3 linked regions of the Notamacropus eugenii genome follow. The protein of the gene in region 1 binds, or shares a complex with, the protein of each later gene. Links are inferred from orthologs where the notes say so. Each region holds a gene or a part of one and is shown in the gene's direction. Other genes may lie near its edges.

Region 1 (7,017 bases):
TTTGTAGTTATACTTTAAGAGTTTGTGCTAATGTTGTTATCCTTTTCCTAAATGGTGAACATCATGATGGCAGGGTCCATGCGGTATCTACCCTGTGTACCTTCTTTAATGTCTTAGCAAATGGTTTTTGCTTAATAAATGTTTGCTGTATCTCATGACATGATATGCATTCATATGCCCTAGCTGGAGAATAATTGTGTCCTCCTTCCCCAAGTGACCATGCCATCAACCTTGGAGGAAGCATTGGCTGCCATCGTGGATACCTTCCAGCAGTATTCAGCGCGTTCCGGGGACAAATTCAAACTCTCCCAATGTGAGCTGAAAGAATTGCTGCTAAAGGAGTTGCCCACCTTAGCCCCGGTAAAAGGCCGTCAGGGGTCATGGTGAAGATGGGGTGGTGTGAGCTTTTATATTTCATGAGTTATCATTTCTTGAGCTGGCAATCTCGAGCAGAGTGGAATGGGATGTGATGGGAGTGGGGAGTAGGAGGCAAGATCCATGTTTTACAGATCGCTGAATTGGGAGTCAGGAGAGGCAGGCTCTGATCCCAGCGCTGACACTTAGCACCGAAGCCTACAGACTCATAAGTTTATTCAAAAGAAAAGCTGGAATAAAATTCATTATGTGTGAGCTGAAACTCCAAAGTAGGAGTTGCCATTATGATTTAGCATAGCATAGAAAACATCATTATCAGAGAAAGTACATTGTGATGAAATGCCCTTTGAAAGTAAATGTGTTACCTACTTCGAAGAGTGTTTTACAACAGAGGGGTGGAACTTGTAGCTAAGGATGCAAGCATCCCATAAAACTAGCAAGTGTAGCACACACCAGATTGAAATGTAATTGAGGAATGATTAACAAAATAAATAAAAATATAATACAATATAGATAATGTTAATTTGTGGTATTCTAAGTAAACACGTGGCCCTCTGGGATCCATTTCTATGGAATTTGTCATCACAGTTGTAAGGAAAGAACTTTAAACCTTTCAAGTGCTATATAGATGTGAGGTGATTATTAATTAATGATAATAAATGATGGAACAGAATGAAGGATATTTTTAAAAATAAAATTTTAGCAGTCTACATTTTTTTAATATCAGAAAATATAGTCTTTTTTGTGACAGCATGGGGGACTTTACAGTGTAATTCTTAAAGCCTTCAGTGGCTAGCCATACCTCTGGGGGCCATTTTCAAATATGAGGGACATCCTGACTAGGGTATATAAATGCCTTGTTCAAGCACTAAACTGGAGCCCAGAAAGGACTTCCTGACAATGAGATGTAGTCTTTCTGTACAATGTAGATTAAACAGACCATCATCAGTCTGAGAGACACCTGATAAAAATGATTTGCCCAGGGTCACACAGGGGCTCAGGGGATAAAGCTGAGGGACCCAGGTCTCTCGATGTCTAATCCAGTGCTCCTTCTATTATGTCATGGCACTGATTTGAGAAAGCCAAGAAGTTCTTCCTGTCTCAGTCTTTCTTCTTACTCTCTTCTACATTTCCCAGACGAGGCTCCGAGAGTGTGACTACAATACTCTCATGAGTGCATTGGATACAAACAAGGACTGTGAAGTGGATTTCACTGAGTACGTCCGAGCCCTGGCCTGTCTCTGCATCTACTGCCATGAATACTTCCGGGATTGTCCCCCTAACCCTCCTTGTCCTTAGTAACTCCATAAGTGGGATGGGTCAGGGATGGGGGGAGATAAAGTGAATTGATGCTTGGGATAGAGCTGTAACCTTGGTGTTATGTCCCTTCTACCTGGAAGTTGTCTTGGAGAGATTGAACGGTCACTTGTCTGCTCTGTGGAAAGCCAGGTTCTCCTTTGAGGATCCTTGTACTACATAATGGATGAGGTCTCCTAATCTAGACATTCCTTAATCTGTCTCAGTTTTCAGTTTGATTTAGGACCCTTAGGAAATTTCCCTTCTCCTCTTCCAGCTCTTTTGCTTCCTTTTGTCCTTCTCCTTGGGTCTGTGGTATTCTATTCTAATTCAAGAATACACTAAGAAAGTACTTTGGGGAGGTAAAGAGAAGACATAGAGAGATGGTGGGGTTAGTAGGAATGAGGTACTAGGGATGAAATTCTTTTCATTGTTCATGTGCTCACCAGTGTGAATGATCTCTCAATAAAAATGGCTGTTGTTCCAGCTCCCTTTGCGGTGGTTTGGTTATTCTTAAAAGGGAATGGAATAGGGCTGGGCTGGGCTTCTTTGTTACTGAGACCCAACTGTTTTGTCTAATACCTCAAATTCCAGCCATCCTCCTAAGGAACTGGGATTCCCTGAGTCCTGTGAATAAAAACTGAGGGGGTACTTGGAGAACTTGTTGATATTACTAGTTGGGAGAAGAGGCTTTATGTTCTCAGCTAGTCTCACCATCTCTAGAGGAAGGAGGATCAGGAAGAAGAGGGAGTGGTTTTGAAACTGCTGCAAGAGATTTGTGGTTAGATTTGAAAATGGAGAGTATACACATTGGATGAAGGGAGTGCCCTCTGAACATCTAGAGCAGGGGGTCAAATTTCAAGGGGGTCTAGTGAATGGGGGAAAAAAATTACATCTTTATTTTCACTAACCTCTAAATGAAATTTAGCAACTCTCTCAATCATTTGAATATTATTCTGAAGAAAACTTCATCAGACTGGCAAAGGGGTCCATGGCACCAAAATAAAAGTTAACAGCTCCTGAACTACAGGCTTTTCCTCTCTGGGGGTCTTTGAGAGAGAAATACTGGTGGTGGGCTGGAGAGGGAGGCTGTGATAGGGAGAGGTGAAGCACGTCTCAAATCCGGGTTCAGGAGGGCCACTGGGTAACAGTGCTTCCACAACAGAGCACCAGTGAAGTGGAGGGTGGGGCCTGGGTGGGGCTGCCCATTTCTAGCCTGGGGCTGTGGGGAGCCGCCAGGGCTGAAATGGCGGCACTAATAGGATTAAAGCTGATGGCCTGTTTTCTTCTCGTTTTCTGGTATACCTCTCCCAACCCCAGTCCAGAGTAAGGGGACAGCATCTGGGAGAGATACCCCTGTGCCTTGGTCTGATAACTGATTAGCAAACCTTTGAAGATATTTTATCCCTACTCTCATCTCCTGATATGTAACCTTAGGATGCCATCCTCAACATCCAAGTGTCCCGTATCCCATAGGTTCATGTGTCCCCCTTTATTCTGGCACCCCCACCTCACCCCCATATACACTCTCATGTGTACTCTTTCCCTCGATTTGTGTCCCTCTTCACCTTCTCGGGTCTCATTCTGGGCACTCATGTGTCCTTCCCTCCCTGTTCTGATTCATTCCAGATGCACATGGGTGCACCCCCCACCCCAATCCTGACAATCAGCCCCATCCTACACACTCATGTGTTCCCCTTCCTTCCTTCGTCCCTACACTTGGACTCCTTCTGGGCACTCAGCCACAAACTCCAGAGGATAACAGTACTTGGAGATGTTTTTCTTTCCATGGAGTATTTCCCAAGCATTCTCCAAGTCTTTTTCTCTGGAGTTAGCCTGGCATCCACTTCCATATCCTTCACACATATATCCTGCTATGTCTAGGAGAGCCACACCCTCAGCAGAGCCCTGCTCCCCATGAGGCAAAGGGACTAAGTGGCCCCCTCTCTCACACCAGATCAGTCCTGTGCCCTGGGTCTTTCTTCCTTCTGTTCTAGAAGATTCTTAGTTTTGTAGGAATTTTCCATCCTCATGCTCTCCCCTCCCCTTTCCCCTACAACTTAACAAAGACTGCATACCCCCCTCTTATTGTAGCCCCTCCTACAAAGTGGGGTTGGGGCTCTACCTACTCCTTCAGATTGGGGGCTCAAGGCCTGTGGGCGCTGTCTGGCTCTATTTTCAGGGTTCTCTCTCTCTCTGATGGGGGGGAGTAGTCCCTGAAAACTATCCCTGTATTAGTGCCTCATCTTGTGTAAGCTTTGCTCACCCACCAGCCAACGTGAGCTAGGAGGTGGAAGAGGCCTTGCTATTGGTCTTCTCTGACCCAGCATCAGGGAGGGGGTGTCCCAGCTCCCCTCCGCCCCTTGCCACAGGCAGGGTTTGGCTGGGGGTATAAATAGGCCCTGGCTCAGCCCTCCCCACTGTGTCCCTCTCTCTCTCCCCTCTCTGCATTTCTTCTCTGGTTGGTTTGGTGAGTTGTGGTTGACTTGGCCGGGGATGTGGGTGACAGGACCCTAGGGCCTGGTAGACAGAGGAGGCTGAGTGGGGGCCAGATGTAGGAAGTAGATCCAGATGTGAGGATCCTACAGAAAGACTCTGAGGAAGGAGTGGTGAAGAGGGGTAGGTGTTTCAGGTTTGAGTTGTAGAGAGATGCCAGGGTGGGGTGGAGGAGTGTCCCAGTGGGGGAAAGATTGCAAGACCATCTGACTTGGATGCTGTATGCATGTTGCATATTACATCTCTGCACCTGGAGAGTGCATCTGTGTCAGCAGCATGTAGTCATGTTTCATGCATGTACATATGTACATGTGGAGCTGTGTAGTGGCTGTGTAGAAACCTCACTTCTGATCTCTCTCCCGAGCAGGGGAATAGCTCCCCCTCTGTCCACTTCTCCTCCCCCTCCTCTCCTTCCTAACTCACCCTCCCCTCTGCTTGACTGTTTTTTTCCATTGTCAGTCCCAGGGCCTGTCTCCAGAAGCAACCGCCCACTCCTGTGCACAGAGCAGAAGAATGGGCTGGGGAGGGCTAAGCTTTGGGGAATGTGTGAGTGTGAGTGAATGAGTGGTGGAAAAACCGAGCTGGAGATTACCATTGCTAGCTTGTTGTTGTGGTACTGGGCACTGAGAGGAGCCTAGGGTGGGGCAGGCATTGCAGAAACAACTTCCTAGGGCGACTAGGCAGGCGAAAGAAACTAGAGAGGAAACTTCAGGGCAACAGTTTTGTGCAGGGAGGTGGGGACAGAGGACTGGTTTAAAAAATGACCTTTAATGTGTTCTAAACTTAACTGGATGCAGTGGCAGATTTTCTCTGAAGAGGTGCAGTGTGCCTGGCAGGGAGGCATCGGAAGATCTGGGCCCCACTCTGCTTCAGTTTCCTCACATAAGAGGCTGCCAACCAAGAGAGCTTCCCTGAACCTCCTATATGGGGAAACTGAGGCAGGGTGGGGTTCGGCATTCTTCAATCTTTTTGTGCTCCCTCAGGCATAACTATAGTAGGGGCTGCAGTATGAATTGTCAGTCCTGAGTCTAAGGACTATTTGGCCTTCTTTGGAGGGCCTCTTCTCTTTATTGTCTGACCCTGCTTGGGCCAGGGCTAGTTTCTCTGTCCTGTCGGTTCGTGCCCTCAGGGTGGTGAATCCTGCCCCATTCATGCTTTACTCTGAGAGGAGCCCAGAAGTCAGCTCTCTAGGGAGGTGTCCAGAATCGTCCTGTCTTGAAGGGAGGAGCTGGGACCCTGATGGTCCCAGGGTGAAGGGTTCAGAGGATGGGGTGGAATGCTGACATTTATGCTGGTTTTGGATCTATAAAGTGAGGAGCTCAGTCTAGATTTAGTGGTTCCCAACTTCTTTGAGTAGGTAGACACTTTTTAATGTAAAAAAATTTCTAGATCCTCCCCTCCCACCTCATTATAGTAAAAATATAGAATATATAGAAAATATAGGGAAAATAGAAAAATTAGCATAAGTTGACTCAGAATAACAACAAAAATTCAGTAACACTTTTGAATGCACCTACTATAATCAAAAAATAGTAAGATGTGTGAGATTTTTATTTTACTTATTTATTACATATTTATATATATTATCATGTATTGATAATATATTCTTTATTTTGAGTCACTGCAATTACTCAAAGTCCATAGTCAGGGAATGGCTGCAACTAGACAGATGAGCACTAAGGCTTCTTATCTCTGCCCAGAGAAAGGAAGCAAGTTGTTCATAGTCACATGGGTAATAAACCAGAATTCAAATCCAGATCCTGTGGTTCCAGATCCAGGGTACTTTCCACTTCGTCTTGTTATCCAAGCCAGTTAAATTTGGAAGGTTCACCTCTGGAAGAGCAGCAGCCAGTTTACCATGCTTTTTGGACTGCCTTAGCAGTGCCCTAACATGATCCATCGTGATCACTTAAGGAATAATAGGTTGTCTATACAGGGAGCCCTGTCTAGGGTGGGGCATCCCAGGCATTGCCTCAAGTCCTCCAGATGAATATGAACAACTGAGTCTAGAACCTCAATAAGAAGAATAATGAGTTAAAATGGAAAAATTGGGTTTTTTCCTAGATTTCATTTCCCTTCCTCTAACCTTCCAAATGATTTTTCTTAAAAAAAGGTGCTGATTTGAGGGCATTTTTCTGACTTCTCACTCCATCATTGGGTTTTCAGAAGCTTATTCTGGGCTAGAAAGATGTGGGTTTCAGTTCTATTTCTATAGGAATCACTCACTATTCGTGTTGGTGGTACTGAACTCATCAGAGGAGGGAGGTTCCCACATGGATGACATCACCCATTCTTGAAGTAGTCCAACACAATCCCACATCCACTCTGTCCCAAATCAAAGGTGTCTTCACTTGCTCCCTCCTAGGTGCCCCTTAGGACAGTATCATGGCAAGCCCTCTGGAAAAGGCTCTGGATGTGATGGTGTCCACTTTCCACAAGTACTCTGGGAAGGAGGGAGACAAGTTCAAGCTCAACAAAACAGAGCTGAAGGAGCTGGTGACTCGGGAACTCCCTAACTTCTTGGGGGTGAGTAGTGTGTATGTGTGCTGTGGAATCCATAGATCAGCTCCTGCCTCCAGCTCTCCTGCCACTCGAGACGCCTGTTGACCACATATTCTCATTTATTATAATTATCATATTAACTATTATAGCTAATTATTGTAGAAGAAAGGTTCTTAACCTGGGGTTGGTGAGCTATGCTATTATATTTATATATTATATTTTAATATTTCATGTTATATGATTTTATTTTTATATTTAAGTATAGTTGGTAATAGTGTGTATTTAATTTTATGCATCTAAAAATGCACTTAACCTGGAGTCAGGAAGAAGCAAGTTCAAGCCTCATAT
Region 2 (7,399 bases), on another chromosome or scaffold:
ATGGGCTGGGTACAGCATGGAAGGGACAGATATTGAAGATACCATAGAGGGAAGGGTAATAAATTTAGGACTAAAAGAGAAAACTGAGAATTAAGAGGCTTGCCCAAGCTGCACAGGAAGTAAGCATCTGAGGAGGTATTTAAACCCAGCTCTTTCTGATTTCAAGTGTAGTGCCTTGGCCATTGCCCCATGTTGCTTCTCAAACGTAATTATAATCACATTACCTTACAGGGTTGTGCTATCCTTTTGGTGCAGGCCCTATACATCTAGTACCCTTCTTCTCCCCTTTCCATTGCTTGCTAGAGATTAGACCTATGATTTCATCTGAATAGAGAGTTCTCTCTAGCAATACACATTGGAACCTTTTATGAGTTTATAGTCTTAACTATAGAGCACTGAAAGTAATGGGTCATATATCATATGTGTCAGAAGCAGAACTAGAACCCAGCTTTCTGCTATTCTTAAGCAAAATGTTTCATATGTGTTTATTCATCTGATCCTCACAAAGACCCTATTATTATCTCTCTTATACTGATTAAAAAAATTGAGGCTGAGAGAGGTTAAGTGACTTCCCCCTTGAGCGTACTAGTGCCTTTCCTACTATCTAATAAGTACTCAAGGCAAGATTTGAACTCAGGTCTACCTAATTCCATGTCCAATATTTTTTCACTGTACCACTTATTATCTTGATAGTCTTGAACTAGGGGATCATGGGAGTCTTTTCCAATCCTAAAATTCTCTGATGAATTCCATGAGAGATAGCATACCAATGAATATAATATGAGGTCTGGTCCAGTAAACAGTTGGCCACCTCTGGAAAGAAACATAAAACAAGAGGGAATCATGCAGAAGAAGGATTGGATTTGTTCTGTTTGGTCCCAAAAGGCATAGCCAGGAGCAATAGCTGGATGCTGCAGAGTCATATTGAGGCTTACTGTAAGGAATTTCCTAACAATTAGAAGAATCATTCCAGTAGGCTGCTTCAGGAGGTAGTGAGTGCTTCCTCATTAGAAAGAGACTGGATAACCACTCATTAGGTATATAATGCAGGGCATTTCTTTTGGGGTATGGTTTAGAGTAGATCAGTGGTTCCAAAAGTTTTTGGTTCTTGAACCCCTCTCAACAACAGAAAAAGGTGTTGTGAACCTATAGAGTAATTTCATATACTTCTCTTGATATTCTTTTAGAGTTATTCCTTAAGTACTTATAACAATGCTAACTTTTGCCCCCAAATTAAAATCTGTATTATATAATTATAAAATATAAAATTTGACTCTACCTTTAATTATGAAAACTAAATATAAAATTTCAAAACTAATCATAAAATAATTATGAATATTTTCTGTGGCACATTCTGTAAGAATTAAGAGGTGATTCAGCAAGACCTCATATGCTTACTATAATATGCAAGACTTCAAATTAAATTTCTTTATTTTACGATTTTATTGAATATAAGTTACATTTTCCTGAACTAAGAACTTGGAAGATGTTTGTAAAAATCAACTTAATTCCAAAACTGAACATTTTTATTTAAACAAATATTCATAACATTTGACTCAACAGATAAACACAGTCTTATATCTGGTTCTTTATTGAGTTTATTTCTGTATTTTGATTTTAAACAAGAATAAAGTAAAAATACTTGCTCATGCAATTGTGTTAGAAAATGGTAAAAGAATTTTACAAGCTTTCTTGTTGAGAGATGGAAAATCATTTGAAAAAATTTTAGCCTCCTAATCAATTGATGAAAATGAATAGCTAGTTATGATAGAAAATACTTGCTTTTCTATTAGCTAATAATAAGTGCTATATTAAATGATCAGTATATTTAAAGTTCAATTGCATATATTGCTTCATTTTCATAATATAAGTAACATATTTGATTATAAATAATATAAACTAACCTTTTTAGGAAAAAATCTCTTTGGACATGATTTCCTTACAGAAACTCTACTAAATGACTGACTGGTGTTGCCAACCAAAAATTTGAAAATATACTGGAGAGAATAGTAACATAAGAGCAGTATAAATTTAAACTGGAAAACAGCCTTAATACTACAATGAAAGGTGATCTAGAATTTATTTCTACAGAACAAATTTGATGGTCCATGATGATTTCAAGATGGCTTGCAATGTGCCTGCCTAGTTCACACTTTGATTTTCGAATACTTTGACATTTAGTGGTAAGAACACAAACATTCATAACACCTAGATCGCATGATGATATAATTTATAACATGATTATAGGGTAACAGATCATAACAAGGGAGCTACTCTGGTGAAGTGTACAGAATACAAATGGGAAAATGCATTTGAGTCTGACTGTGTCTTGGGAATTGGTTTGTGCTTGCATGTTGAACCCTTATGGTGGTTTGGAAACAATTTGATGACAGGTTGAGAAACTGCAAAAACACATAGCACTTAGAAGCAGGTCAAATTTGATATAATCAATGCATGAACACCAAAATGTATGTATGATAATGACAGTTTCAGATAGCTGGAGAAATAAATCTGTAATGCTTCAAACATATACATTCTTATTGTCACAGAGAAAAATATTTTTGTGATATAACTGGACAATAATCTACTACCAAACATAAGGTAAAGAATTTTTAGCATGAACTTCTTGGATAATCACAGATCACTAAATGGGAACCACTGGAGTAGATGACTGCTAAAGTCTCTTCCCTTTCTAAAATTCCATGATTCTATGTTTTAAAAAATCCAGTTATGTTGACAGGAACTTCCCAAATTAGCAATGTCAAGCCATATATCCCCATCCCTCCAAGCTTAGGTCATTATTGACAAATCAGAGTTTGTTTAATTTGTTATATTGGGCTTTATATTTCAGATGGTCAACTAAGTATGGATTAGAAAAAATAATCAAGAAAGATGTTCTTTTAAATCTTTGAGGTCTCAACACATTGTATCTTTTGAATGAAATGCTTTCTTGACAGTACCTATCACTAATGCAATTGGAAGCATATTCTCTGCCAGTCCAAGGGATTAAAAAAGGCCTTGTGTCAGAAAAAGGAAATTCTAAATATCCCATAGCTGTTATTTCATGAAAGTGATACTGGCAGAGTGCTGACAATCCTTATCTCAACACTACTTTTGGAGTAGGTACATAAACATGGTTTCTGCCTTAAGGCCTTTTAGTCTAAGTTTCAGAAAAAAAAAATGCAGTCCAGGAATTATATTAAAGCTATTCTAATGTCAGACATGTGACCTTTATGTTTTCTTTTTCTTTACATCTTTCACTTAAAGTCTATCATAGATCCCTCATGGGATATTTTGGAGGGATTTGAAATTTTTTAAAAAGTGGGAACCTTTGATATCTGGCTAGAAGAATGGGGTTCCAAACTCATCTGTAAAGAAAAGGAGGATAGATTTAGACAAAATATAACTAAGTAGGAAGGGAAGATGAGAATGGAAGACCAAAAAAATCTTGAAGAAAAGGAAGAATACCTTGAATATGAAAAACAGGAAGGAAAAAAGGGAAGCATTCAAATAGGGGGAGGTAGTGACAAGACGTTTAATAATTTTACCAGGAGCTTTTTAGATAAATTGAGAAGAAAAATGACTGGTTGCTAAATCAAACAAAAATGTTGTTTACTCATTGGTTGCCAAGTAAGAACACTGTCCAAACAAAGTATTAATGGTGAGAGATGGAGTTTAGGGAAATGGGGGCAAAGTCAAGGGAGTAGGGATAAATGACTGAGAAATAACAACTGTGCTAAAACAAGGGAGAAAAGAAATCCAATATTGGGACTGGACTGACATGACACTAACCCAATGGTCTAAGTTTGTAGACAATTTTGCAGGATCAACAGATCCTCCAAGACAGTGTAAACTTCCAGAATATATAGCACATATATGAATAAAAACTGCTTGTAAAACCCACTGCATATACCCAGAACTCAGAAACTTCTCAGGGAGAAGTGGAAATTGTGATGAGTAAAATTTACTCTGGAGTAAAGGAGTTTCCTCTAGTTTGGAAACTTGGCTTTGAGGTTTCTATTTCCAATGAGCCAGGAACAGTTCTATTACCCACCCTATTCAAACTCTGGCTGAGTGCTGCAGCGATGTGTTGCCAGGGCTTGCCCAAATGTGAAACTCTGACATTTGGAAGCCCGCAATGACTCCTTTCCATGCACTTCTTTGGGTATTAAAGGACAGACAGATATGCCAAGGACCAAGTGCTGCAGCAAGCTCATTCTGATAATGCATTGTGGCTTTCTTCTGGGAACTGCCTTGTCTAAGGTTAAGCTAATAGTTTTGCAGACAATAGACGAGTGCCAGCAGCCTTAGCTCGGAGGAACAGAGATTTATGTTTCCTGGAACAACCAACCCCCTTTTCTGCTTTTTACACTGACAACATCAGAACGTGAAACTATTTAACCAAGCTGAGGGATGGCTACTTCTTTAACAGCAAGCACACCAACCTCGCCCTAAACTTCACACCCCTGCCCTCTTTCTCCGACCCCTTTCTCAGCTCTCTAAACTTGATGTGATGTTGAACAAGGAAGGGGGTCAAGAACCCAGAAGGAATGGGTGGCAAGAAGTCCGGAGGGTAGACCTTGGACCAGCAGAAGCAGGAGAAAGCCAGTTGGGGCCTCATTTCTAATAATAGCTAGGAAGGTTTTGTTGGAGAGGTCAGAACTTGATGCTCAGCCGGTTAACGTTGGGGCTCCCACTGAACCCCCGGGGAACCCCGCCCTGCTAGCTAAGTTTTTGCACAATGTTTCCTGCCACGGTGAGTGTGTGTGTGTGAGTCACTATGAATCAGGGGAGGTCCTGGGGAGGGGGAGAAGAGGCGGGGCGGGGAGGGGCGGGGCGGGGACTGCTCCTGCTGAGGATGTGGCAGAGGATAAAAACCCCACCCAAGCGGTCCCGGCTCTGCCCGAAGCCCGACTAGCTCTCTGCTCTGTCCGCGCTTGGCACAGGTAAGGCGTGGCCCGCCCGCTATTCCGGTCCTTCGGCTATAGCGGGGAGGGAGAAGTTCTTGAAAGAAAAAAAAGGCCATTGCAAAGGGCCTCAGACTTGCTTTGGGGCGGAGGGGGATGACCACCCGGGAGACGGGCCCCGGGCGAGGCTCCTGGGGCGCGGGGCTCGGGCCAGGACACCTGGGGAGAGCGGGAGTGTGGCCAGATGCCCGTCGGAGCCTCCCAGCCTGCGCGCAGGCCGCACAACGGGGGGCACGGGCGCCCAGCTTCAGGCGAGGGTGAAGGGTCCCTGCATTCCAGGGAGGTAAGGGCGTGGCGGTGCAGTGATCGAGGGCCGCGGCGGATGCGAGAAGTTTCCACCAAGTGGGGTTTTCAACGTTTATTTATGTAAAAAGTGCACAGACATTTCCGAAGTCAAGTAACTGGCCTTAAATAAAGGTTCCATGAACTCTCTTGGTGCAATCCCCTGCTTTTAATGACTGGAAGGAACCGGGGAGAGCTAGTCTGGTTGCATTGCTGCATCCTGAGGGAAGTCCTACGGACAGCGGGCACAGATGGCTATAGTAGCTTCAAACCTTCTGTTCTTGGGAGTCGTCCTTTTCTTTTTCCTTTTGTTTTTCTTTTCCTTCCTTCTTTAATTTCCCTCTATTTACGATTCCCCTTTCCTTTTATCCCTCTTTCTTTTCTCTCCTTTTTCTTTTCTTCCCACCTTCTTTTCTTCTGAAAGGGTGGGAGCAGCTTTTACCAACGGATCCCAGTATCCCTTGGATCCCCCATCCCCAGTATTGGTGCAGTAGGCAGGGTTGTGGCCATGGTGGGGGGGGGGAAAGGGGGGAACTACAGTTTTGCCCTTGGCCTAACAGGATAGTTCAGATGGGGGTAATATGGTGGAAGGTGTTACTGGTTCTAATTCTTTGAGTATATGAATTCAGAGCCTACAGAGAGGCCTGGCCTTCCAAATAGATTTAGGCCCAAGTGGCTACTTCTGTGATGGGCCGAGTGAATTTATGACATGCCTGTGCTGACTGGATAGAACGGAAAGAGCAATAGATTTAGATTCCAGTAGCAAACACATAACCTCAAAACATTGGGTTCCTCATCTGTGAAATGGGGATAATGATAACTCTTCTCCTTACTTGCCTGCAGTAGAAGGAACTGAATGGTACAGTGGAAGGAATGCTGCATTTTGAGTTGGAGAATCTAGGTTTAAATTGTCTCTGACTCTTATCTCGATGACCATAAGGCAAGTCACTTCACTTCCTGGCAGGGGTTACCATATCTGTCAATTGAGATAGTAGTATTTGATTATTTCTAAGGGCACTCCCATCTCTATATCCTGTGACCTTGGAGTGTAAGTTACCTATTTTCTCTATGAAAGAGCAGCCTAAAATGGGTTCACTTATTCTCTAATGGATTGTGAGTCTTTGAGGGCTTTTAAGAAAGTCCATACTTTTTCTACAGTGTTGGGCCAAGAAGTTTATTTGTAAATTATTTTAGGAATGGTAGGGAAATCATGGAATATTAGACCCGGGAAGAGTCTTAGGAAGTTCATTGGAAGAGCTGGTATCCAAACCTGAAGTCCTTTGATTTCAGAACAAACGGTTTTTCCATGGCAGCGATGACTCACTTGCCACACCATGAGTGGGTGTGGCAGGGATTGTGGCAGCATGGGTTCTTTCAGGCTGAGGCCTGTCTGTAGTATCCACCATTTTCTCTTCAGAGGCATGGCCCTGATAAAGGCTCCATAAAAGTTGCTTACTGGTCAGGAATATAAATATGGATTGGAAATGCAATGTTAATGCATTATGTCTTTGTGATATTAAAGCTGATTGATTTTATTCCTGTAGTTATGACCCCTAGCTTTCTGATTGATATTTCTATTAATGTCTTTGGAAAAAAACCGGTCTAAGGAGAGACACATTTCTTCCCTAATTGCTATTGATTTAAGGGGCTATGTGTTTTTCCTCTGGTGATGGATTTAATGGCACCAATCCATTGAGTACCAGGTCTTCATTCAGGAAGCACAAATTGTCATAAATCCTACAGACCTGCTTTAGATGGTTACAAAGATAACTGGAAAAAAGAATCATAGATTTAGAGCTGGGAAAGGAACCTAGAGGCCATCTTATTCCATATGGGATCTAAGGAGGTCTTCAGACTCCAAATCTAGTGACTACATCCCTAAATTAATTTTCTGTTACTGCTGTGGTTGATATGGCAAAAATGGGGGTAAATGACTCACTAAAACGTTAACACTTGTAATGTTGGAGTTAATAGTCATACAGAGAGCTTTCATTTTAAACCAGTCGGTCTTCACATAAATAGCTCAGGTAGCCTGTTGTGGGCTTGTGTTGCTTAAAGTGACAGCTTTGACCTAGCTTTAGATGTAATTGTCCGAATTAATTAGATAGACAATTGCTACTCCTCCTTTTTAAGCTCGGGGATCCCCATTT
Region 3 (7,873 bases), on another chromosome or scaffold:
ATTACGACAATTTCACTTATTATTTATGGTAAAGACACTGTCCTAAGTTCCATTTTGGGGGACCCAGATGTTATTGAGTTGATGTTCCTATCCTCAAAGAGCTTATAGTTGTGTAGAGGAAAGAAGGCCAAAGTGATGACCATCTCATGAGGGTTAAAGACAAAGAAATATAGATCTGAGGAGCAGTTTAGAGGCTGACTAGATCTGGGCGACGAGGAAGGAAGAAGGTGAAAAGGGCAAAGGACTGCAGAAGAGTGGGAGGATAGTGATGCCTTTGGCAGATCCAGGGGACGGTGGGAGAAGCAAGTTTGGGAAGGAAGAGAAAATGATGTGGTCAATTCTAGGCACATGGAATTTGAAATGTTGGGAGTACTCTAGAAATATTTAGTGGGTAACTGGAAATGTAGAACTGAGTTGGGTCCAAGCTGAGCATAGAGATTTGTGAATCCTCCACATCGAGGGGTTAGGTGACATTGTGGGAGCAGATGGCAGACAGTGTACGGGGAGACATAGACAAAGATGTACAAGATTTGAGAGTTGAAAGGGACCTTAGTAGCCATGGAATTGGACCAATAAGTGAAAGAAATCCTTCAGTACTAGACCCAATCAGTGGTATTTCAGTATCTGCTTGAAGATTTCCAAGGAAGGTGCCCCAATCCCTGGAGAGAAACAAACAGAAAAACTATGAGAAGTCCATGCTTGGGGGAGGGGGACAGGCAGAGCCTATAAAGAAGACAGAGAAGAATTCAAAGCTCTGCATTAATTTCATCCTTCTCATTTTCTTCAGTCTTGGTTTGCCAAAGCTAACTGCTCCATCTCCGAAGCTAACTTTTATGTTTTTGGGTCTGTTTTCTCACCTATAAAATGGCGGGAAGTGAACTAGATGACTTTTAAGGCCTCTTCTGGTTGTAGATCTAGAATCCTGTAGCATATGCCCTTGATCTCATCCTTTATACCTTCTTGCTCCTTCCATCTTTCCTTCTGTGCTCCCCCCACCTTGATTCTGTAACTGTCGTCTCTTTTTCATGATGACAGTCTGATATGGAAAGAGAGGAAGCATTAAAGCCATAGGAGACCTAGGTCTAAATCATACCTCTGACATTTATGAGCTGTGTGACCCTGGGCAAGAAATTTAACTACCTGGATCCTCTCTTTTCCTGACCTGTAAAATGGATTAATAATAACCCTCGCATCTACCTCATAGAACTGTTCTGAGAAGCTAATATCTATAATATATCTATATAATTATATCTAGAAAGATAATATCCATACAATAATATCCATATAGTATCTATAATATCTATATAGATACTATCTATAATATTTGTAAAGATAATATCTCTATATTATCTATAATGTCTATAAAATGCTTTTCAGGCCTTGAAGTTTTATGTAAATGTCAATTGTCCCTTTCTCTCTTCCTCTGTTGGTTTCATCCCTTTATTCATCACTTGACCCTGAAGATCTCGGACCATGAAATGGCCCCTTTTGATTTCAACCTCCTGTCCTCCTATTTTTTCCACTCCACTGGCTCCTCCTTAATTGGTTTTCTCATGCCCCTTGACTCTCCATTTTCCCAGGAGGGGTTACAATGTTTAATCTCCCCAAACTATTTTGAAAAATACCATTTTCTCATCATCCCATTGTCACCTTTTCTTTCAACATATCACTTCCTCTCTCACCTCTATCTGCTTGTTTCACTTTGAGAAACTCAGTCTACCATTAGGGATTCCAGTTGTCATCTACTATTCCCCTCAGTGTGACTTTTGGCCCCATCACTTTCGTGAAACTTGGCTTTCCAATCACTGATGATCTCTAAGAGGGCAATAGGAATGTAGTGGTAGAATTCTTTGTCTGAGCAAGAATAAAGACCATGAACTTGGTTTCTATCTTTATGTATGACTGGTCATCACTATAGTGACATTTTGTATCTATATTTTTAAGTATAAAGTTTAGTAGCTAATTTTAAAAAGGAATTTTAATTTTAGTTTCTTTAGTTGGTTTGATGACTAAAAATATAGCCTTTTATGATTGGGTAGTCACCAAATACTCATCTTTAAAAAAAAAATAAAGATTCCTCAGTGAACACCCTGAGGAAATCTCCTGGACTTACCTATGAACATCTTTAAAATGAAGGTTTGTTTGAAATTCCTGATTTCCCTCAAGACTCAGCTCAAGTGACACTTTTGACAAGAAACCTTTCTGGATTCCTGCATCTAATATTGTCTCCTCCCCCATCACCCTCTCACCCTGTATCTGTTTCAGATCTACCTGTAGCATCCTCTCTGGGTTTACTTCCCTAACTCTCACATGTGGCTGGCTGGGACTCTGGAAGGCTTGTTCTTCTCACCTCCTAGTGCTAGGGGTAACCCCAAAGGTTTCTTGTATTGCCACTCACAAGCCCCTTACAGTCTCATTCCCCTGGATCATTAGACAACATGAATTCCTTTGTAGAAGGGGGTTCATCTGAGGTTCTTGCCTCACCAGACTGGCTAATTCCCAGCTGCCTCCCTCCAGATGTGCAGCTGATCCATATATATCATCCAATTATCCAAACACTTAATGCCTCTTAAATTGATTAAGGATTTCTTGGCATTAAGTTTACACTTTTGATTGATCTCTTTAGTCAAACTGTCTAGCCCTTTTGAGATGACATTAATCGGGCTGAAGGTAGTCATAGACTCCTGGCCCCCTCCCACTCAATACATATATGTGTATTTCTAATCTCCTTTCTATCCTATCAATCCATCAGTCAACAAGTATTTATTAAGTAATACCACGTGTCAGATAATCCACCAATCCAAAAGCAGGGAATCCAAAGACAGGATTAAAACAGTCCCTTCTGATTGTTGTCAGTCAGTTCTGTTCTACAGGACCCCATGGAATCTTCTTGGCAAAGATACTGGAATGGCTTGTCATTTTCTCCTCCAATGTGTCCCCATTTTACAGATGAGGAACTGAGATAGAGAGGGGTAAATGACTTACCCAGGGTCACACAGCTAGTCGAATTCAGATCTTCCTGACCACAGGTTGCATGCGCTATTCACTGCACCACCTAGCTACCCCTAATTCTAATAGGGGGATGAAAACATAGGAAGTATGTGCAGAATATAAGATGTCCCAAAAAGTCTTAGAGTGGTTCTAAGCTGCTAAGGCTTAGACTTAAGCACTGCGACTTTTGGGACACCCCATATGATACAAAACGAACACTATGTTGTATTGGCACGTCCCGAGAACGGAGTCTCTTATGCGTGGTTAGATCGGAGAGTGCAGGTGCGTGTAAGACGGGAGAGCTAGGAAGGGGATTTGGAGAGCTTTCTTTCAGGGTTACCCACACTGAATAATTCGCGTGCTATCCTGGAGGCAATGGGGAATAATAAAGGATAGCTGAGTAGAGGGGGTGACAGTGTGGTGGATGGTGGACTGGAGAGGGCAGACTGCGAACAGTCAGGTAAGGGAGGGGTGGCTGCGGAGATGGAGAAGGGCCCACATAGTAAAGGGTGGAAGGGCGGAAAGGACAAGATTGGGCAGCGGGCTATATTCGGGGCGGGGGAGGACAGTGGAGTTCTGAGTCTGGGGACCCGGGGGCTGGCAGCGACTAGAACACGGAGGAGGGAAGATGCCTTTCTGGGGATATCAACGAGGACAGAGCTGGACAGCTGCAGGGGTACAGCCAGAGGGAGGGGCTGGGCAGGGCTGATGAATCAGCGCCGGGGCCGGCCCAGGTGCCCGAGGGGGATGGGACCAAGGGCACAGGTTATCCTGGGCTGGGAGGAGGGCCACCTTTTCACTTGGGACAATGGGAACTCAGGAGAAGGGCGGGGTGGGGAGGGGGGCAGGGCAGCGTGTTTTGCATTTTCTCCGCGCCCCTCGAGTAGAGGTCCGGTTTGGGGCTCGAGGCGGATGATAGCTCCGAACTCAAATCTTGGTTCGGGCCCCCACTGGGTGCGTGCCCCTGTCGGTCACTCCTCCTCTCTCCGGAGGTCCAGTTTCATTTTCTGTAAAATGGGTACAATCGACCTTGAACTTGTAGGGAAAGTAGGGAAGCGCTAGAAATTTTGCTGGAGGGATCACGCCCCACACGCCCCTCTCTCTACAACCATAAAGCCCGCCCCGAGCTCCTGCTCCTCCCTTCACCGGCCTCGCCCCATCCAAAAGCCGGGAAGACCAGTCCAAGCTGCCGGCTCCGCCCCCTGCCAATCTTCGTCCTCAAACCCGGCGGTCCGTTGGAAAGCCTCTAGGGGGCGGGGCTCCCGCCTAGGCCGCAGGGAGACTGCAGGGTTGGAGGAAAAGCCCGGTCCTCTGGGCTTCCAACGCCTCTCCGTCCGCCCACTCCGTTTCTCACGGGTCGAGTTGTCCATCTATCAAGCGCAAAAGCGGGTTTCCACTGGGCTACTTGAAGTGAGGGGGCGGGGCCTTGGAGGGCGAGGCGGCAGGGGGCGGGGAAAAGTGAAGGCCGCTAAAGGAAAAGCCCATTCCTTTGGCTTCAATTGTCCCGCCCCCTAGGCTCTCCATGGGCCGAGATGCCCGTCCGTCGATACGTCGGCGGGCTGCGATTGGACACGAATGCCCCGGGGGCGGATCTCGGGCCGCGCGTGGAGCCGCAGATTGGGCGGGAGCGGCTGGAAGGCGGGGCTGGGCGGCGCGGGGAGAGGCGCGGCAGGGCTGGGCGCGGCGCGGCGAGGCGCGGCTAACAGATCACTGCCGTTCCTGGGCAGGCCGGCCGGGGTACCAGACAGAACGACCCTGACCTGCTGGCTGGCGCTGCCGGCCTCGCTCTCTCCCTCCCGTCCGCCCGCTGTTCCGTCCTTCCAGCTCGTTTTCGTTCTGTCGGCTCGAGCGCAGGTGGCAAGCCGGAGCCGGTGCACGGAAGCTGCCGCACGTCCGCTCGAGGGGACCCGACGCGGCTCAGGTGAGCTGGCCGCGTCCTCCGGGGCCAACGGCGTCTCCTGCGCGCACCGCGGGGAGCGCGCCCGAGAGCGGGGCGGGCGGCGACGAGGCACGCAGAGTTCAGCGGCTGCGGGCGGGCGGGCGACCGTGCGCGCGCTTGGTTCTCCGCCGCGGCCGGCCCGGAAATGGATGCGGGCGGGCGGCCGGGTACCTCTGCCCTGCCGGGGTTCCGCGCGGCGGCCCCGGGCCCTGGAGGAGGCACTGCCTGCGGCCGTAGAGTGGCTTCGGATTGTCGGAATTTGGGGTCCGGGGTTGGAGTGGGGGCGTCAGCTGGGCACCTGGTGGGGGGAGGCGTCCCGAGGGCCGGAGGCCCCCTGGACTTCACCCCCTTTCTGACTCCCTAGTCCTTCCCGCTCCCCCTTTCTGTTTTTTTGTGACCCCTTTTCTGACCTCTTTCCGTCTCCCCTGCTTTCTGTCCACCTACCCCTTTCTCTCCCCCTTTGAGTCTCTCTCCCCTCTTGATCTCCCCCTTTTCTCCTCTCCCCTTTCTCTCCTCTTCTGTTCCTTCTCTTCCTCTCACTTTCAGGTGAAGGAGCATTTCTTAAACTCTTCCTTGTTCCAACCCCAGGTAAAAGACACAGAACCAGTGCCTGCCCTCCAGGAACTTACAGGTCCCTTGGCATTGCGCTCTCCTCCCTTTCCCTGCATCCCTCGGGCCTTCAGTGACTCAGTTTCCTGCAGTTGCCCATCCCCCTACTCCTTATCTCACTCCAGCCCCGGACTCCCTTAAGTGCCTGTCGGGAGGGCTTGGCCAGACTTTTGAGCTCTCCTTGGGGCTTGCGTTGGCCGGGCTCTGGCTCTCCGGGGCAGCCCGCTCCGGGCACTGTGGAGGTCTCCAGGCCTTTCTCGGAGGTAACGGGCGGACCGGAGACCGCTTGGCAGCTGTCGGGGTTCCCTCTTGAGTCACGGGCAGACAGTCCTGCTGCAGACATGGCTCTGAGCTCAGCCTTGGTTTCCGCCCTCCCATCACGACTTCCTCATTCGCTTGGCTGTGCTCCGTGGAACCGAGAAAGGGAGGGTGGAGGTGGAGGGGGGTGGGGGTAGTTGGGTCAAGGAAGGGAGTGGGAGCTTCAGCCTGGCACACCATCTCCCTGACTGCTTCCTCCCTCAACTGACCCTTGACTTGGGTGAGGAGGGCCCCTAGGGCCGAAGTGCTGGTATGGGATTGCTTTGGGCTTTCTGCCTGCCAGTCTTCCTTACCTTGCCCCAACTTGCTGTGGGTGAGGTGCAGCCCTCAACTCTGATTACCTTGCCCTTCGGAGGAGCCCACCCAGCTTTTGTGGCTCCGCTCTCTGGGCAGACCTAAGTTTCCTCTTTCCTGTTTTGCAAATGTTTGGGGCTTTTTCCTGATTGCCCTCTCCTCCCCCCTTCCCCTTCCCCTCCTGGGCCACACCCTGTGGGGCTTGAGGGCAGGTCCCCTGGTAGGCCCCTGGAAGGAGAGGGTGTTAGCTCTGCTGTTCCAAAGACACAAGAGAAAAGGTCTATTTCATTAGCTCTCCTGAGCTGAGAAGGGTGTTATTGGAGGGTCTAGCTAATGCCCACAAGTGAGGGACTTAGAACGAGTCACATCAGTGGGCTAGAGTGAGCCTGGAAAGGTTGTATTTACAGAGAAACCCAGCTGTTTGTCCCCAGCACACATGAACTCATTCACTTTCTGCTAGGTTCTCATTGACATCTTTTCCTGGCTTTGAAAGTAACAAGATGCTTCAGTTACTGTTGAAAGTCAAGAGACCTCAGCTTGTTCATCTTGTAACAATGTGGCTAAGTTTGATTTTTCTGGGAGGCTGAGCAATTACTTGCTTCTTCTTACCCTTTTCGCTTAAATAGAGGAATCAGATTTATTTATATTTTTACCAAACTTTTCTTGGTTGGCTGCTGTGGGTTGTATAGGACAGACCTTGATCTCAAGTAGCTCACAGGCTGGTAGAGGACCAGGCTTCAGATCTCAGTCTCTGATGATTACCTGAGCAGTAAGAGTCGGAATCCTACATCTGGGGAGGGCTTGGAGGCCGACTAATGCTACCCCCACCCCCCACCCCCAGCACTAGCTAGCCAGTAGTTGGTACATAGTGGTAGAAGCTTCAAGAGAAGGGTCTTATCATTGTGGGAGTTCAAAGAAGGGAGAACCTATTTTTGATTGGGGGGGAGTGAGAGTGAGAAAGGAGAGTTCCAGGAATTCTCCAAGCATGTTGCCGGCTTTGCTAACTGAGGCAAGTTTGAGTCCAGTCAGAAAGTGAAGAGTCATTTAGTAGGTAATTGGGGGTAATTAAAAACTTCAAAATTGTGCCTTATAATTTTAGAGCCATCATGACCACAGATGGCTGGCTTACCCCAGGCTGAGTGGGACAGGCTGCCGTTTTCAACAGGTTAGGAGTTCTCGACTCATTAAATGCTGCTGTTGAGCCATGGAGCCATTCAGTCTTGGGCATTTTGGTTTGGAGGGCAGTGGAAAGCAGTGCATCTGGACTTGGATGCCAGAGAAGTCCTTGGTCCCACTCTTCTACTGGCCAGGTTGTGTGAATGTGGTCTTCGAGTCAGACTGTTTCCTCATCTGTAAAATGGAGATAATGATACTTGCCCTGCTACCTGCCTCCTAGGGCTCTTGTGGGAAGCAAATGACATGACGCATGTGATGACTGTGGCCACCATTGGTGGTAGAAATGTGAGCCGGCATTTCTTAAGACTCCTTCTAGAAATATAGCTTTGAGATTCTAGATCATTCCAGTTCTGATCCATTGAGATCCCAGATGAAAAACTTATATAATTGAGGAACTCTGGGGTCCTTGCTTTAAAAAAAATAATGAAATTTAAGTTGGCTGTGGGAGAAGGTGTCCAATCAATTCTCTCCCAGGGTAAGGCATGCGTACTAACCTCAGTTTGCTTATTTTGGCTTCTTTTTCCTGGGCATTATGATGGCGCGGGT

Evidence for each region.
Region 2: the proteins of protein S100-A4 (region 1) and ANXA2 are in contact, whole or in part, in a crystal structure (PDB 5LPU), measured with the Homo sapiens proteins. The link is inferred for Notamacropus eugenii from reciprocal best matches to the Homo sapiens genes S100A4 and ANXA2. Residues at the interface, in NP_002952.1 of Homo sapiens: Lys35, Leu38, Pro43, Ser44, Phe45, Leu46, Gly47, Lys48, Arg49, Thr50, Asp51, Ala54, Phe55, Lys57, Leu58, Asn61, Leu62, Gln73, Phe78, Cys81, Ile82, Met84, Met85, Glu88, Phe89, Phe93; in NP_001002857.1 of Homo sapiens: Leu13, Glu14, Pro21, Ser22, Ala23, Tyr24, Ser26, Val27, Lys28, Tyr30, Thr31, Asn32, Phe33, Glu36, Arg37, Leu40, Thr44, Gln69, Asp70, Phe73, Arg77, Arg78.
Region 3: the proteins of protein S100-A4 (region 1) and MYH9 are in contact, whole or in part, in an NMR structure (PDB 2LNK), measured with the Homo sapiens proteins. The link is inferred for Notamacropus eugenii from reciprocal best matches to the Homo sapiens genes S100A4 and MYH9. Residues at the interface, in NP_002952.1 of Homo sapiens: Leu38, Ser44, Phe45, Leu46, Gly47, Lys48, Arg49, Thr50, Asp51, Ala54, Phe55, Lys57, Leu58, Asn61, Leu62, Ser64, Gln73, Glu74, Cys76, Val77, Phe78, Ser80, Cys81, Ile82, Met84, Met85, Cys86, Glu88, Phe89, Phe90; in NP_002464.1 of Homo sapiens: Thr1906, Ala1909, Met1910, Glu1913, Val1914, Ser1915, Leu1917, Lys1918, Lys1920, Leu1921, Arg1922, Asp1925, Leu1926, Pro1927, Phe1928, Val1929, Val1930, Pro1931, Arg1932, Met1934, Ala1935.

Annotation. Positions count from the first base shown.
Region 1 is NC_092873.1:377,524,175-377,531,191, reverse strand, and holds the start of protein S100-A4, read left to right. Parts: upstream 1-3,920; 5' UTR 3,921-4,141; intron 4,142-6,532; 5' UTR 6,533-6,552; coding exon 6,553-6,693; intron 6,694-7,017. Other genes in the region: S100A3 (protein S100-A3), read left to right, coding at 220-360, 1,513-1,674. UniProt on the Homo sapiens protein: Calcium-binding protein that plays a role in various cellular processes including motility, angiogenesis, cell differentiation, apoptosis, and autophagy.
Region 2 is NC_092872.1:148,524,001-148,531,399, forward strand, and holds the start of ANXA2 (annexin A2), read left to right. Parts: upstream 1-4,389; 5' UTR 4,390-4,756; intron 4,757-4,805; exon of another isoform or gene 4,806-4,946; intron 4,947-7,399. UniProt on the Homo sapiens protein: Calcium-regulated membrane-binding protein whose affinity for calcium is greatly enhanced by anionic phospholipids. It binds two calcium ions with high affinity. May be involved in heat-stress response.
Region 3 is NC_092874.1:293,431,258-293,439,130, reverse strand, and holds the start of MYH9 (myosin-9), read left to right. Parts: upstream 1-4,774; 5' UTR 4,775-4,912; intron 4,913-5,711; exon of another isoform or gene 5,712-5,802; intron 5,803-7,179; exon of another isoform or gene 7,180-7,501; intron 7,502-7,821; exon of another isoform or gene 7,822-7,873. UniProt on the Homo sapiens protein: Cellular myosin that appears to play a role in cytokinesis, cell shape, and specialized functions such as secretion and capping. Required for cortical actin clearance prior to oocyte exocytosis. Promotes cell motility in conjunction with S100A4.